Linked DNA regions of Mus musculus. The main gene of each other region encodes a partner of the protein of the gene in region 3 in a complex. Links are inferred from orthologs where the notes say so. Each region holds a gene or a part of one and is shown on either strand. Other genes may lie near its edges. The genes, in order: Eif3g, Eif3f, Eif3i and Eif3d.

What was found.
Region 1: Eif3i (region 3) and Eif3g share a complex: the UniProt entries of both Homo sapiens proteins name them as parts of the eukaryotic translation initiation factor 3 (eIF-3) complex. The link is inferred for Mus musculus from reciprocal best matches to the Homo sapiens genes EIF3I and EIF3G.
Region 2: Eif3i (region 3) and Eif3f share a complex: the UniProt entries of both Homo sapiens proteins name them as parts of the eukaryotic translation initiation factor 3 (eIF-3) complex. The link is inferred for Mus musculus from reciprocal best matches to the Homo sapiens genes EIF3I and EIF3F.
Region 4: Eif3i (region 3) and Eif3d share a complex: the UniProt entries of both Homo sapiens proteins name them as parts of the eukaryotic translation initiation factor 3 (eIF-3) complex. The link is inferred for Mus musculus from reciprocal best matches to the Homo sapiens genes EIF3I and EIF3D.

What each region holds. Positions count from the first base shown.
Region 1 is NC_000075.6:20,895,769-20,899,890, forward strand, and holds the start of Eif3g (eukaryotic translation initiation factor 3 subunit G), read right to left. Parts: upstream 2,823-4,122; 5' UTR 2,796-2,822; coding exon 2,776-2,795; intron 2,657-2,775; coding exon 2,610-2,656; intron 2,400-2,609; coding exon 2,316-2,399; intron 2,209-2,315; coding exon 2,120-2,208; intron 1,999-2,119; coding exon 1,939-1,998; intron 453-1,938; coding exon 348-452; intron 250-347; coding exon 60-249; intron 1-59. UniProt on the Homo sapiens protein: RNA-binding component of the eukaryotic translation initiation factor 3 (eIF-3) complex, which is required for several steps in the initiation of protein synthesis.
Region 2 is NC_000073.6:108,933,041-108,937,239, reverse strand, and holds the start of Eif3f (eukaryotic translation initiation factor 3 subunit F), read right to left. Parts: upstream 2,826-4,199; 5' UTR 2,809-2,825; coding exon 2,433-2,808; intron 1-2,432. UniProt on the Homo sapiens protein: Component of the eukaryotic translation initiation factor 3 (eIF-3) complex, which is required for several steps in the initiation of protein synthesis.
Region 3 is NC_000070.6:129,597,798-129,601,934, forward strand, and holds the start of Eif3i (eukaryotic translation initiation factor 3 subunit I), read right to left. Parts: upstream 2,852-4,137; 5' UTR 2,800-2,851; coding exon 2,797-2,799; intron 2,705-2,796; coding exon 2,612-2,704; intron 1,246-2,611; coding exon 1,158-1,245; intron 1-1,157. Other genes in the region: Tmem234 (transmembrane protein 234 isoform 1 precursor), read left to right, coding at 2,919-2,934, 3,186-3,337. UniProt on the Homo sapiens protein: Component of the eukaryotic translation initiation factor 3 (eIF-3) complex, which is required for several steps in the initiation of protein synthesis.
Region 4 is NC_000081.6:77,967,974-77,972,259, forward strand, and holds the start of Eif3d (eukaryotic translation initiation factor 3 subunit D), read right to left. Parts: upstream 2,852-4,286; 5' UTR 2,710-2,851; exon of another isoform or gene 2,486-2,709; intron 617-2,485; 5' UTR 607-616; coding exon 484-606; intron 249-483; coding exon 203-248; intron 1-202. UniProt on the Homo sapiens protein: mRNA cap-binding component of the eukaryotic translation initiation factor 3 (eIF-3) complex, a complex required for several steps in the initiation of protein synthesis of a specialized repertoire of mRNAs.

The DNA.
Region 1 (4,122 bases), on a different chromosome or scaffold from region 3:
AAGAGAAGAGCACACTACCACAGAACAGCTGAGACCCTCCCAGGTCCCCACGTCCACACCTCCTGGCAGTTTCTCCTTCTCCCCAGTAGACAGGCCGAGCTGCTCAGCCAGCTCCTTCTGCATGGGTCCTAGTGTGTCCTTGTAGGGGCAACGGGTGGTCCAATGGTCGCCCTTGCAAATGCGGCAGGACACAATCTTCTGGCCCTTAAGCTTGTTCATTGGGTCCTCCTCCTCCTGACAGTTTAGGTCCTGGTGGGGTATAGGGAGGGAAGGCTCAGAGGAGGCTGCTGGGCCCGGCCCACACCACCCCCACTGCATTTCTCAGGCTCCAGCTTCACCCAGCTCACCTCTTTGCTAGTGATGAATGTCATAGAGACGTCATCACTGACTGTGGTAGTGGCCACATTGGGCCCCGGTGGGTCAAACTCCGAGTTGCCAAACTTCTTCCAATTCTGGGCTCCCAGAAAACAATGGGGAGAAGTGAGGAAAAGACAGGAAGGATCCTGCAGTGGGTACCCCAGACAGACAACCATTCCGGGGCCTTGAATCCGAAGATCTAGTCTCTCTAGAGGCCTTCCCTGTGGTAATGGTGACAATCCCCATTCCCTAAGCTAAACACAGTGGCACACAACTGTCACCCCAACACTTGCCAGGTGCAAACAGGAGGACCTCAAGACACGCAAGCTCAAAACCAGCCTGAGTTATCTGAGGTAGGTGCTGGTAAGGTAGCTCGTGTGAAAACGTGCAGTACACTTTCTAACACTCATATAAAAGGTTAAGTACATGCTGGGCATGGTGGCGCACGCTTTTAATCCCAGCCCTTGGGAGGGAGGCAGAGGCAGGCAGATTTCTGAGTTCGAGGCCAGCCTGGTCTACAGAGTGAGTTCCAGGACAGCTAGGGCTATACAGAGAAACCCTGTCTTGAGAAAAAAAAAAAAAAAAAAGGTTGAGTACAGGGCTCCACTGTGCCGCTGGCAGTTTCTGGGCTGCTCCATGGCCAGCCTCCCACCAGGGACAAAGGAGGAATCACCCAGACCTTAGGAACCGAGCCAGTTAAACCTGAAACTCATTTCCTGCCTGTAAAACAGGGGCCACAAAGCTCCCTGCCTCCCTAAGCTGGCCTGGAGCCTGAGAAGCTGTGTCTTGCTGAACGCTGGCACGGGACCTTGCTCTCAAGCGTCGCTGTCCCTCCTCTACAAGCCCTCCCCCCTAGGTAAGTAGAGGCTGCTTGCTTCTTCATGTAGACAGGTCAAAGGAGAGAGAATGGAGGTCAGGATGCAGGAGGCTGAGGCAGAAGCATTTAGAATGAAGACCAGAGCTAGAGCCTCTCAAAAATAACAAGCCAGCAAATGGTGGCAATGCCTTTAATCCTAATGCATGTGGATCTATGAGTTCAAGGTCAGCCTAGACCACAGAGTGAGTTCAGAACAGCTAGGGCTACACAGAGAAACCCTGTCTGGAAAAACAAACTACAAACAATAAAACCCAAGAGGGCTGGGTATGTCTCAGTACAGTGTCTGTCACACAAGTGTCCGTCAGACTCTGACCCCGAGCACCCACAGTCAAACACTGTGCACAGAGGCAAACTTGCATTCCCGGTGCAGGCCAGACAGGAAGTGGGGACAGCAGGGTCCCTGGGGCTGTTAGTGCCCAGCAAGCCTAGTCTAGTTCCTAATACCGAGAGACCAGCTCAAACCAAAAGTATGCTGTGCCATGTGCTGGGGGGGATGATGCTGCGCACATCCGCACACAAAAGGAGAACAATAAAAAAACAAAAGTAAATGAATAAATAAAGCATCTAACTTCATCTACTCCTGGGCCCTAACCTTTCAAGGCCTAACACTAAACGTTTACTCCACATCAACAAAAAGGGGCTTCCCAACTCCTCAGGATCAGCCCCAGAGAACACCCTACCCCCCAAATGAGGTAGAATCTCACCTTCCTCCTTGCCACAGCCTTTGATGCCTTCCGGGTCTCAATCCTGAAGGTTCTGACAATCTGAAGATGAATAAGAGAGGAGTGCTTCCAGAGCCTCAGGCCCTGTCTCAGCCACTGACACCCCTCCACCTGAACCCCTGAACACAAAGGCACTGGCCCTATGTGTCCACTTCGACCTCACCTTGAATTTCTTCCCATCTTCCTCTATCTTGTACTCAGTCACTGTCTTTATGTTCCCATTGATGACTTCCTTGGGAGGTGGCAGCGGGTCTGGAGGAAGATGACAGAAACTGATTCCCGGGTAATGGGGACTGGCTGGAAAGTAGGCTTGAGAGTCGGAAGGGAAGAGGAAGCAGGCAGGGATGGACACTGCTCACCTCCGGGCAGTAACTCGGGCTCTGGACTGGTGTCCCCGGTGGGCAGAGGGATTCCTTTCAGGAGCTCGCTGGTGACACATTTGTCTGCCAGAGGGAATTCGGGGAGGAAGGTAGAGTGAGCCACGGGACGGGAACTTTCAAGTCAGAGAGAGAGTGTGTGTGTGTGTGTGTTGTGTGTTTGCGGGTTGCACCGGGGGCACAGCGCAGGGCGAGGGTGGGGCTGGCCACGCGCGGCCCTAGCCGGAGCGTGGGCCCCGGGAACAGGCAGCGGGCGCGGCCACGCTCGGCACTCACCGTCCTCTCCCTCCTCCTCCACCTGGTCGGCCCAGCTGGGCTTCGAGCTGCGGGGACAGGAGATTGGTGAGCGGGTCCCGGCCCCCCGCGCCGCCCAGACCCCCACGCACCCCAGAGCAGCCCCCACGCGGCCTCCCCGGCGACCCCATCGCCACCCCACGCATACTCAAAGTCGCCAGTCGGCATCTCGAAGTCTTAACTCCACGCAGCTCCCAGCCCGGGTAAAGACAGGAAGCCGGAGTAGAAGAGGCTTCCGGTGCCGCGGCCGCAGCCTAGAGCGGCCAGACCGCGGTGAGCACAGCGCCTCCCTGCGGACAAAGGTGGACACGCGGCTCTCGCGCACCGCAAAGCGCTGAGATCCAACCTGGAAAAGGGGTCCAAAAAAAAGCTTCAAAGAACTTTTTAAACTTTTTTTTTCCCCCTTTGGGTAATGGGGCTAGACGTGAGTGTCTCACTCTATAGATAGGATAGCCTCACAATCCTGTCTCAACTCCAAAAGGCTGAAAGTACAGGCTCACGAGCAGTATTCCCAGGGTGGCCTTGAATTCATAGCTGTCTTTCCACCTTACTCTCGTCCGTGCTGGGAATATGAACATGAAATCGCCACACCCGGAACTGATTCGTTCTCTCCCTCTTCCCGGAGAATTAGTTTTCAGCCATCAGTAATCGCAGTGCTGGAGGTGGAAGCTGGAAAATTATGAGTTAAAGGCCATTTTCAGCTACCTCGTGGATTCCAGACTAGCCTGCGCTCCATGCGACTCTGTCTCCAAAACTAAAGGTGTCTTGCTTTGTTCCCCAGGCTTGCCCCTGAACTCCTAAACGCAAGGAATTCACAAATAGCTGGGGCTATAATTGTGTGCCAACAAGCTTGGCTGAAAAGCACGTGTATCAAGAATGCCCTCGCCCCACATCGTTTAGAGGATACCAGGATTCTGGTTTGTTGAAGAAGAAACAGACTCAGACCAAACCCTTTTGTCCTGTGCTAAGACGTCCTTTCTTTGAATAAGAGGCCACCTGGTCTCCTGTGCCTCCTTTGCTGTGTAGCATGCTAGGGTTTATCCTACAACCTTGTTGTGCGTTTGTATTATTTGAAGACAGCATGCTTGTGCATACATAGCACACATGGAGGTCAGGGGACACTTTGCAGACAGTCTCTCCTTCCACTATGTGGGTCTTGGGATTGATCTCAGGCCTTCAGGCTTGGCAGCCAGCCTCCTGCTGTGGTCCAGGAGTCCCCTCACAGACCACACGAGCCCCAGTCTCAGTCAGAGAGAGGCACTTTATTGAGCATACATGTCAGGACTGGTTAACCAGGGCCACAGTCCAGATTCAGGACCTGAACTGTGACCCTGACTTAAGATCCTGCAGGGTTTTTAAGCCTCAAATCCACAAACATCTGGGCCAAGTCACATCACCAATCAGGATTCAGAAATGGGGGGTTTACCTGGGAACATGGTTTTGCCTTACACGTATCCTGCTCCCATTGGTTGGGTATTCAACGGTGGCAAGAGAC
Region 2 (4,199 bases), on a different chromosome or scaffold from region 3:
TCATGTTGTGGTAACCCTTAACCATAAAATTATTTTCATTGATAATTCATAACTACAATTTTGCTACTGTTATAAATGTAATTGAAATACTTGTGTTTTCTGATGATCTTCTGTGAAAGGGTCATTCCACCCCCAGAGGTTTTCTTACCAGACTTCCTCTCACACCCCTAACTCTCACATTAGTTACTGGATCTCACTGAGCCATAGGTCCCAACTATTCTCACTTGATGTCCTGGTACCTTCCTTTAAGTTCCTCACCCCCTACCCCTTGTAACATGTCTCTGCTAGTGTTGTCTTTTGTTGGCTAGCGTTATGGTTTCATTTTCTGAACTATGTGGTGGTTTGAATATGCTTGGCCCAGAGAGTGGTGCTAACAGGAGGTATGGCCTTGTTGGACTAGGTGTGCCACTGTGGGAGTGGGCTTTGAGACCCTCCTTCTAGCCGGGTGGGACGAAGCCCAGTCTTCTTCTGGGTTCCCTTGAATAAGACATGGAACTCTCAGCTCCTTCTCCAGTGCCATGCCCGCCTGGATGCTGCCATGCTTCCCACCTTGATGATAATGGACTGAACCTCAGAACCAGTAAGCAGCCACAGTGAAATGCTGCCTTGGTCATGGTGTCTGTTCACAGCAATGGAACCCTAAGACAAGGTTCTTAACCCACAGGTATACCTTCTGTCATCTGAACACTCACCAACTTTGACCACTGTGACTGCTTCCCCCATTTCAGAGCCTTTTCTCCTAGGGCCTCCAAGATACCAGTCTCTTCTAGCTTTTCCCCTTCTCTTCCTAATCTGTTAGCTCCTCTGACACCTCAGGGTTTCAGCATTGTTAGTGTTCCCAGTTTTTGTTCTATGCTTCTTTTCTAGGTCAAGTACTGGCCCAGAAACACTTCAGTTCATGTTTATGTGCCCAATCTCTTTTGCATTATTTATGGCTCTTTTCCTGCTACAAGGGCAGAGTTGAGTAGCTGTGACAGACTGCACACAAAGCTGAAAATATTCCCTGACTTTTTTTAAAAACACAGCTACCAATCCCTGTGGTAGGTGAGTACATCTACCTCTTTATTTCAGTTACTTATCTTCTGGGGGCTAGGGCATACTTGCCCACACCTCTTTACATTTGCATCTTCACACGTACTGTTAAAATTTGCCTTTCTTTTATACTGATTAATTATGGATGTGCAACTGCTTGCCCATGGAAGTCAGAGGACCGTCTGCAGGTTTTCTCCTTCCATCATGTGGGCTCTGGGAAGTGAAGCACGGGCAGGCAGTGAAGCGCCCTGGCAGCCCTGCTTACTCAATTTTCTACTTGACCAACCCACTGGTACACTCAGGGGCACCTCACAAGGAATACCAAGCCCAAGCCACACTCTGTCCTTTCTTCTTGTATGCACAACGGCAGCTCTAGAACTCACCCAAACCCCTCTCATGCTGCAGTTCTGTCACGCCTTGACCTGCGAGCTCTATTTCCTTGCGTCCACTCTCTGCCTCTCTCTGCCTCCCCTTTGCAGGTGCTCTGCTTCAGCCCTCAATCTGCTGTCCAGGCCCAACTCAGGTCTACTACTTTCCACAAAGCAGGCATGTTCTCTAGTTTCCCCTGCCTCGGCTCTGGAATGAGTGCTGGTCATGGGCCTCTGCAGAGACCAGCCTGGAGGAGTCTTCTCAGCTCCCTGTGAGTCCTGCCCCACAGGCAGGTGACCAAACCACTGAGGGCTTCACTTCCTGCCACCCTCCCGTAAGCCTGGGATGCCAACCTCTTCAGATAGTTGGCTTCTCTTCATCTTGAAGGTTAGCGACGGACACATAATACAACAACAGTCTGTGTCCAAATGAAAAATCAGAGGAGTGAGGTGGGGGTTGGGGGTGGGGGTAGAACTTGGAGCTGAGCATATCTAGGGTTTATGAACCAGTATGTAGGAAAACCTTGGGACACGTGCCTGTCTGAAAAGTTTAGGAAAGCTAGATATTATATATCCAGAATATGTTACAAATATACCTGGTTTATTTGAGTTGGAGGAAGCTTCTGACACATCCTCTTCCCTAACATGGGTGGTGGGCACTTTCTGTTTGTGCTGGGGTGGTGGTAGGTCACTGCATAAGAGAGGGCATGTGGGTACTCTGTTTAACGGGTCAAGGGCTTTGAACTTGCTGTCATTTGAGCTTTCATTTTTGGCAGCATGCCCTCTCAGTACCACGTTGTTGGGAGTATAAAATAACATGTAGATCAAGTATCACAAACTACGCAATAGCTTATACCTACTCCTTGCACATTTCTGTGGCTTAACGGCAATTCGGCTGAATTCAGATCACTCGGGAAGGCAAGCCACAGTAGGAAGGTGCAAAAAGAGAAACAGGCTAAGAGTTCAGGGGCGATGGAACGAGAGGAATAGTAAGATGCACAGGAAGAAAACATTAATTTCCCCAGAACTCACCCAACAGGGTTCCAATAACTCGGGCAGCTCCCTCGTTGCGGCGTTCGTAGCTGTCCACGATCGAGGCCAAAATGACGGGGTGTAGCCTGACCACGCGGCCGCCCGGGAAAGGCCCCGGGAGGGCGGGCCCGGGCTGCGAAGGCGCCGGCGTCTGCGCTGGGGCTGGCGCGGAGGCTGGGGTCTGGCCCGGGGCTGCAGGCGCAGCTACAGCAGGATCAGACGAGACGGGCGCCGGGGACGCAGCGGGAGTCGCAGCCGGTGTCGGAGCTGGCGTGGATGGGGTCGGGGCTGAAGCCGGGGCTGCGGTGACGACCGGCGCCGGGGCTGCGGCTGCAGTGGCAGGAGGGACATTAGCCGGTACGGCCGGAGAAGCCATCTTGCCGAGAAAGAGAGAGAGCCTAGAACAGAAGAGCGTGAGTTGGAGGAATTAGAAATTTGATTGGCTAAATTTATACCACGTGAATCATATCTTGATGACTATTGGACATGAAATTTCCGGCTAGTTGTAAGTTTTAGTGCGCGGTGTGCGCTTTAATTTCTGTCCGATGCGCACTCAGTGTGTAGGAGTCCAGAGTAGTTCCTAGTAACTTTAGGACTTCCTGGGGTGGGAATGGGGAGGAAGCAACTAGCAATCTACACAGTTGCCACCAGGTGGCGGCACAGAGTAGTGTAAAGGTCGCAATTGTTTAAGACTTAAATGGATATTAAATATCAGTCTTACAGGGGATTCACTGTTACATCCATTTAACTTATTAATCAATGAATTAAAATTTGGACTCAGGATCTACTTTGCATTCCACGCCTAGCCATATAGGTTAGGTTGGCCTGGAACTTACCTCAACTTTCCTGCCTCTGCTTCCCGAATGCTAGGACTATAGGCAGGAATCATCATGCCTGACCAATAGTGCTTTATTTGTGATGGCTTCATAAGGCATCATTAGGGAGGCATATTCATTCAACAATTTAAATGCTTAATATGCACCAGACTCTCTCTTATATGCTAGGGTATATAAGTGAACTAAATAGCAAAGGGTTGCATTCTCTTTGGGGGAGAGAAAAGGACTAAATCCTACATTAGGTTAGAAAGTGCTTCGATACACAGTAAATTATTATTACTATTTGACTGTGCTATGAGAAAGAAATGATCAGTGGAGGTTATGAGAGCATGAAAGATTATGAAGGGTTAGAGTAGGATACAATGAGGGTATCAAGTTGGAGTGGAAACTTGAAGAATTCAGGCAGCCAACTATTATTTGGGGTTTTGTAGGGAGAGCTCTTCTGGTGGAGTGAACAGTTCATGTAGAGGGCTTAAGGTGAATGAGAGCAAGACTAGTACATTTAAAGAAAGAATTTGGTGGTTAAATGGCATTATCAAAAGAAAGGATAGATCTCTAAGCAGGGCCAGGAGCTAATTATGAAGACTCCTATGCTGGTACTGGAGAGATGGCTCAGCGGTTAGGAACACAACTAGAGTTGTGAGTAGCTGTAAGCCACCAACCAACCCCTTCCCCTTGCTAGAACCTCAACGCAGATTCTCTGCAATAACCTCTTCCAAAGGTCCTAAGTTCAATTCCCAGCAACTACACAGTGGCTTACAATCATTTGTAATAGGATCTGATGCCTCCTTCTGGTGTGTCTGAAGATAGGGACAGTGTGTGTGTGTGTGTAATAGATAAATAAATATTTTCATTTTTTATTTTTATTTTTTGGTTTTTTGAGACAGGGTTTCTCTGTATAGCCCTGGCTGTCCTGGAACTCACTTTGTAG
Region 3 (4,137 bases):
GGATCAAAGGCATGCGTCACCACGCCCAGCCAGGTGGATCTCTTAAGGCCTACCTGGTCTGCAGAGAGTTCCAAGACAGCCAACGCTACCATAGTGAGACAATGTCTTGAAAACCAAAAAACAGGGGCTGGAGAGATGGCTCAGTAGTTAAGAGCACTGACTGTTCTTCCAGAGGTCCTGAGTTCAAATCCTAGCAACCACATGGTGGCTCACAACCATCTGTAATGGGATCTGATGTCCTCTTCTGGTGTGTCTGAAGATAGTTACTGTGTACTCACACATATAAAATAAATAAACCTTAAAAAAATTTAAAAAGAAAAAAAAAGAAAACCAAAAACCAAACCAAAAACCCCTAAACAAACAAACAAACAAACAAACAAAGCTGGAGAGATGGCTCAGTCGTTAGAGCAATGGCTGCTCTTCCAGAAGACCCAGTTAGGTTCCTAGCACCCACATAGTAGCTCGCAACCATTTATAACTCCTGTCCTAAGGGATCTGCGGCCTTCTGTCATTTAAAGGAAAATGGCTAGCAAAGTACACACAAGGTACACAGACACATATGCAGCAAAACACCCATACAAATAAAACCAATCTTTAAGCTGGGCAGTAGTGGCGCATGCCTCTAATCCCAGCACTCAGGAGGCAGAGACCAGCCTGGTCTACAGAGTGACAGTCCAGGACAGCCAGGGCTATAAAGAGAAACCCTGTCTTGAAAAACAAACAAAAAAAAAAAAAAAAAAAAAACCCAAAAACCAAAAAACACCAAAACCAAAACCCCTAATCTTTAGGGAAAAGAAAAATGATAAAAAAGATTAAAAAAAAAAAAAAAGGTTGAAGAACAACTTAAGACCTGATGCCTCCATTTGTCCCTACTCCTGTGCACACAGATTCACCACGCACATATATACAAATAAGAATACATAGTCCACCTAGTCCATATCTTCTTGGAAGCCATCAGAGCATCTCCCAGGTCAGTCCCAAAGAGACTTTCTCACTTTTACCTCAGAGTGCCCTGACCTCTGAATTCCCAAACTTGAACCTGTCCTAGTTTCCCACAGGATGAAGTAGCTGGGAGTAGGGAGTGTTATTCTCTAGACCGCCACAACATGCCAAAGCCAGTATCTCCAAGGCTGGCTAACCCATGGCCAAAAGGATACAGTCAGCATCCACGCACCACACAGCTCCAGTGTGGCCCATGTAGGTGCCTAGCCTCTCCCCATTGACAGAGTACCACACGTTGACGATCTGGAAAGAGTAAAATGATAGGATGGTCACATCCCAAAATAATCAATAGCTTAGCTTGCACTACAAACCCTCTGCAGGCTCTAGCCAAGCCAGGTTTGCCTTCTGCTCATTTACCAGTGAAGAGCTGATAGGACCGCCCAGCTCCTGGGTTCTCCTCCTTTCCTAACATAAGCTGTAGAAGAGCCAGGCCTCCAATAGCATCCTCATGTGCTTTTGTCTGGAGTCAGAAGAGGTAAAGGCCAACCTGAGTTGCAGTGTGAAAAAAAACCTTTCGGGTCCTGTTCAATTGACTCCGGATGACAGTAAGGATGTATGGGCTCCACTGCTTTGTCACTAGCTCACTGTGTGATCTTAAATACAGAGCTCCCTTCCTTTAAATGGCTAGGAGAGCTGAAGAGAAGGCTCAGAGCTTAAAGAGCACTGGCTGCTCCTCCAGATGACTTGGGTTTGATTCCCAACACCCACATGATGGCTTACAACAATCTGTATCTGCAGTTCCAGGAGATTTGATATCCTCTTCTGGCCTTCACAGGCACCAGGCACTCACATGCTATGTAGACATACAATGCAGCAAAGCACCCATACACATAAAATAAACAAAATCATTACACACACATACATTAAAAAAAAAAAATGACTGGGAGGGGCTGTGTGTGGTAGCACACACTTGTATTCCCAAGACCAGGAGGCTGAGGCAGGAGGATGGAGAGGTGTGCTGGCCACCATGGACAGATACCCCACTCTTGTCAACAGCTTTCTTCAAAGGGCAGCTGTGAAGCTCCAATGAAACCATGTCTATGAAACTTAAAATAAGTGACTTACATGCATCGGGTACAGTGCAAAACGATTTACAGAAATGACCTCACTCTGCTGAGGGAGCTAATTAAAGTCTCCATGTTTTATTAAAAGGGAAAACTGTGGTTTATAGAAAAGGTAAATGTCATGTTCAAAGTCACACTGCTTAGTAGGAGCAGGAGTTAGGGCTCAGATCTCAAGCTCCGACTTAACTCTCCACTGTTAACTATCAGTTTATTGCCTCCAATGCAAATGCCTCAAAAGACAATCCCCAAAGGAAACAAAGTGGGATTGAACAGACCACTTGATTCTGTCCTGTCCTGTCCCTGGGCTCCCTTCCAGTCTCCTGATTCTCTTCTCCCTGGCTAGGTACCCTTCCCTTCCAGATTTCCCTGGCGGAATGCTGTCGCCAACCTACCGCGGTATGGGGTTGGTTTTCCCTACTTATCAGAAAAATTTCCCTCCCGCAGGCAGTAAACCTTGTCCACCCGCAGTCCGGGCGGCGCGAACTCGCCCCCTCCGGGCCCCCCGCCCCGGACCCCCGGCCGCCCGCCCTCACGCAGTCGCTCACAGGGTCTTTGGCCACGGTGAAGAGAAGGTCTCCTTCGCGGTTATACTTGATCTGCGTGATGGACCGCTCATGGCCCTGCAGCAGGATGGGTTTCTGTGGGGACAGAACCGGGGTGTCAGTGCCGGGAACCCCGTCCCATGCCTACTGAGGCCCCCCGACGGCAGCACGCCGCGCCTGGAACTCACCATCCTGGCGGTGACGCGAGGAGAGAGGCAATGTGAGTGGGACCGGAAAAAGACTAGGGACGACTTCCGGATGCGGGGGCTCCGCCCTCTCGCTCCCGGAAGTAGAAGGGCCTGGCGTTTTCATGGCGGCGTCCTGGGGTGGGTAGCCGGGCCCCCCACCTCCGCGGGCTCCGACTCTGGCTCGGGAGCTCTGTTCTCAGTCTCCTGGCATCCCCGAGCCTCAGGAATGCTGAGCCACGCACCCTGGTCTCACTTCGGCCGCCCTCTGGGCGGGTCCTCCCGACCGATCACAGCCCGGCGGGAAGAGGGAGGGAGGGAGATGGAGCCGGGCAGCAGGGTGCAGGAGGCCGGAGGAGGACCCGGGTGACTTTCTGACCCTTTGCTTTCAGGGCAGGTGCTTGCTCTGGTGCTGGTGGCCGCACTGTGGGGTGGCACGCAGCCGCTGCTGAAGCGAGCCTCCTCCGGCCTGGAGCAAGTGCGTGAGCGGACGTGGGCCTGGCAGCTGTTGCAGGAGATAAAGGCTCTCTTCGGGAATACTGAGGTGCGTCTAGCTCTCACGGACGAGCCCCTGAAAATTTCACCATAGGTCGGCCGTATTCCCAGCCCATCTCTTACTCACTAGAAGTTCCTGGAAGAGTCATTTATCCTCTGTGAGTCTGTTTCGTCAAAAAAATGGAAAATTTAATGATAACCCTTGTATAGGGCTGATATAAGAACTCAAGTAAGACACATAAAACACTTAGCATTGGGCCTAGTACAGGGTACATGTTCAATCAATGACTATTTTTGCTTATTGTTTGTTTTTGGAGACAGGGTTTCTCTGTGTATCCCTGGCTACCCTGAACTCACTAGCCTCGAATTCAGAGATCAGCCTGCATCTGACTCCTGAGTGCTGGGATTAAAGGCGCCACCACTGCCAGGCTCCAGGACTACTCTTAAGGTCATCATCACCAAGTTGAGCTTTCTTTCGGCTCAACTTGCCCTGGGGTAGAACATAAGGAAAGCTATCGAGAACTGCCCATGGCTGCCTATGTAAGCTAGCTAGATATGCCCTACTCTGAGGGTTAGGGGGAAGGAGAGAGGTACTATATTTATAGTACTGTGTGAATTCTGTACAGAGAGATGAAGCTGGAGGACATGGAGTGGGCTACTTAGAAGGGGTAACACTGTCACTCAAGGCCTTATACCAGCAGGGACGATGGGAACTGGCCATGACGAGGGAGAGGGCATTTAAGGCAATAGAGTACATTGAATGCGTTTCTCTGTTTGCTCTAAGGGGTCTTCAAACACATGAGCGGTCCCTGAGCATTTGTAACCATGCCAACCCCCGTGGGAAGGTGC
Region 4 (4,286 bases), on a different chromosome or scaffold from region 3:
GAATGCAAAGTAGCTTTCAGGAATCTCTGGCCATCCTGGGACTAAAAATCATGGTTTGTGTACACTCTATTCCAGAATATACTTCCAATAACTACCATTACCATTTCCTTTCCTTTCTAAAAACCTTTCATGTGGGGCTTACTGAAAAAAGTAATGAGCTTCCCAAGACCCAGATGTGGACGGGCCGCCGAGGACCACTTACTTGTGTACCTCTTGTCCTGGTATGTGGCCCCTGTCCAGTCTGCAACCTGTGAGGGACAAGGAAGACAACAGGTCAGGCGAGTAGACTTCTGCTGACATCGACAGCGACAAAAGGCATCAGTGTCGCCTCTGATGCTCTGCACGTGGCTACCCTGGCTCTGACTCATTCTGGAGGTCAGGGCCTTCCTTAGGTGGTAGCCCCAAAGGAAGGATATCCATCAAGAGACTAGAAAGGCAGTGGGGAACTGTGGAGTAGCTGCCCCAGCTGAAGGGACCCAATACCTTTCCCAGCCGATCTCCTTTGCTGAATGGCTGGTAGGGCATATCCCGAAATTGCTCAGGAACGGCACAGGGACCCCAGCCTGAGGGGTTGTCCTGGATCACAGGTGTCATGAACTTCGCCATCTTCTAAAACCTGTGAACACAAGCAGTGTGAGAAGTTTCAGAAGGAAGGCCGCCAAGTTCCAAACACTCCACCCTCCACTGAAGCTGCACTGCAGAGGTGCACCCTGGCTCTCGAGCACTGTGGACAGGGTTTTCCTGTAAACTGTTCAAAGAACACTCAAAACGCAGAACCCTGCCAACACCAGCGACATTTTCCTATGTCTCACTGATTCTAGGACAGGTTCTTTGGTGAACATCTTTGCAATGAAGCTGTGCCTTTCCTTGATGGGGTGTCCCGTCTTTCTCAGTAGAACATATGATAAAGGTGTCTTCAATTATTCAAGGAGGTAAGAGTAGTGAATTCCCCGAAACACCTTCACCAAAGCACCCAACAGCAAATGTCTCTAAACCCAGTCTCCATCAGAGGGCCTCGGTCAAAGTCTTGGTGATTGTCACCCTGCACAATTACCACTCAGTTACACAAAGGCACCGGCACACAGTGCTTTAAAGACCCTCGGGCTGCTGAGATGGTGCCACAAGTAAAGGTGGAACCAAAGTGGAAAGTGAGAACAGACCCCCACACGTGGCCTTCTCCAGCAGAATGCCACAGCACAAACTCCCACACACGTGCATACACAGACAGCAACAACAAAATCCTAAAAATAAAGGACTAAAACCAACCAAACAAGACCATCCCCTGAACCCTCAATCAGACCCCACCCTTCCAATTTTCCATCAGCACAAGTCCTGTACAGTGCATGCAGCCAAGCAAAAGGACCATTGGTGACCAAGGTGGTCACAAACTTCAGAGCAAAAGCGGCCGAGTGTCAAATGTCCATACGCAGGAGCACCAGGACACTGTTCTGACCGCTTACAGCACACGCGCTCACTAAACCCTTCGGACAATCCCGTGGGGCCAGTCCCATTTTCTGGGTAAGAAAATTTGAACACAGGCAGTGTAGCTTTGGCCCCGCAGTATATAGTATATACCACAGCTCATTTTAGGAAAGTAAAAGCTAATAGCTGTATAATCCAGGGGCTTGCTGGACACTTCCCATCAAAAACCAAAGCAAACAACAAAAGGAAAAAAAAAAAACCCATGCATTGACCACACACAAGAAACCTGAAATTGTCCACCATTAGAGCTCAGTAGCCTCTCCTCCTCCTCTGACACACGGAAGCTGGTGATACTTAGGTGACACGGACAAGAGTAAACCCAGGAGCTTCACCCTCCAAATATGAACGTATGCTAAGTTGTAGGAAGAACACGGGGTTGTGGGAGAGAGGGTGAGGTGGTGGTGGTGGGGTGTGGTGGCCTTCAAACAGCTGACATGAAGTAAGAGGCCCCAGGATGTTGGGGTGCTGTGCTGGACGCTTTACCACCGACTGCTACCACACACCCCATCTTTGAGACACAAAGCTAGCTCTGCTAACTTAAGGAGTCCATCTGCCCATCCCTTCAAAAAGTTTCCAAGGCTGTCTACTTAGGCCCGACCTCCTTCTGGTTATACTGTGGGTAGCTGGCAGCCTGACCACCTGGGGCTTTAAGCCATACCCAACAGGCTGCCCCCAAAGCAACTGTAAACTTGAGTTGTCACAAGTTCAAGATGGCTCAAGGCCTGATGTGCATCATCATCTATCTCCCTGGATGGACAGGGTTTGGTCCTTCGGCTACTGCACACGTGAATCAGAAAGAAAGCAGTAGGGGAAAAGTAAAACGGCGCGACAGCTGTATTGGCCACAATACAGTGTGGGTCACTGGGGACACTACAGGTGGGGGCCATTAACTCCTGGGCTCCGTTTCCGATCAGAGCTGGAACCTACTCTCAGCCCCCCATTTCGGAGCACAGAAACAATCTGTTCGAACCCCTAGAGGAGGCTACGTCGCCCCACAACCCACCCCACGGCGCTGAGCAGAGCGCCGAGCGAGGGATCCACACACAAGGTCCGGTGTCCTGCATTCTGAGTCGTGCCTGGGACCACCGGGGGCCAATTCCCGCCCCGCCCAGCGGAGGGGCACAGGCGACAGGACGTAAAGGAAGGCTCTTCCGGGAGCTCCCGAAGCCACGTCTAGCCCAGGCTGGCTCGCGAGGTCCGCAGGGTCCCACGAAACAAGCCGCTCACCTGCAAAAGCCTTCACGGGCCCGGATGGCGACAGATGGCCCGGGGAAAAAACTGCGATTGCCGGGATACTCCGAGGAGTCAAGGCAGGAGGGAAGATGCGCGCGCAGGGGCCGGTGCCGTAAACGGCGACCAGCGCTGTCGTAAATGGCCCTACCACTTCCTTCTTAGTCAGCGGAAAAATGTCAAGCCGTAAAGTGAGACACAACCGGAAGTGTGTCACAGCTCTCGGCTTTAAAAAAAAAAAAAAAAAAAATCCTCGTTCGCCCCTGAGGTGCCAGACACAAGTGAGGGGATTACGTCAGTGGCGTCTGGGGACGCCCGGAGAGGTTCAGAACTGAATCGTGGTCACGCTCGGGGCCAGAGAAGCCGGGGCGGGGAGTCGGAGCTGTCCCCGCGGTGTCCCATAATGCTTCGCGCCAGGCTCGCCTCCTCTGCCTCCCACAATGCCCCGCCGCGCTCGCTGGCCCCAGCGTGGTCGTCGGTCTGGCTGATCGTTATCTGGAGAGTGGCCCGGCGCGTTTCGTGTGCTTGTCACTTGTGGCCCCAACGCAGGGTGGCAAATGACCTGCCTAGTCCGGGTTGCTAGAGCTTCGGGGTGCCCGCTAGGACTCAAACCTTTGTCCCACAGGTCACAAGCGTCTTTCAACGGAGATTTCTGGTCGCTATTTTTTAAAGCAGATTTAGAGTGCCTCGCTCTAAATCGATATTCAGATCGGGGCTATCCAAGCTACGTCTTAATTGATCATCACAGTTCACAGGGTGCGGGTCAGTGTGACCTCTTGGCGTCTTCCACCCCCTGCAGCCGTCTGGAAAGAGACTCGGGATGGGCGTTTTTTAAAAAGCTGGTCCCTTCTGCCTGCTGTTTATGTTTCCTTGATAGTTTCTCAGCAGATCTCCTTGATTAGAAAATACATCTTTAAAAAAAGAAAAAAAAAAAACATCTTAGATACATGTGGTGTCCAGGGTCAGCCAAGTGTAGTTTTATGGCCTTCATATCTGACATCTCTCTCCCCTCCTCCCTTAATGAAACTGGAAATGCTAGATAATAAATTGTAAAATAAATGGTTGTCAAAGGACATTTCCACATTCGGGTCCTTACCGTGGATACCACTGGGATGAATTTGATCAGGTGATTTGGCCTCTACCTGTGTTGGAAATGGTAATGTTGGTGGGATTACCCATTTCACTAATTTACCAATGAGCTTGCCTTCCCGTTTCCCCAATTTGTGTTCTCAGGATTTGGTGGGTCCTGCTGGGTCCTCGTCATTAACTTAAATTTCCCACCACATTGGGACTAGCCTGTCTGTGTTGTAACTTCAGCCGTACCTGAGTGCTGTCTGCCCTCATAGTACCATCTCCCTCATTGTTCGAACCATTCATACTCCCAGTGGGTTGCTCCTCAGGATGCTCAAAGCTCTTCCCACACTTCCGAGGGAAGATGTGGCCTGACATCTCCCTGCCCTTCTGAACAACCTCTGCTCTGGCCACCACGACCCTGCTCTCATTCCTCTCCCAGCAGGTCCCACACTTGCTGTACTTTCTGCCCCAAAGGTTTACTGTCACTGTCTGGGTCCTAT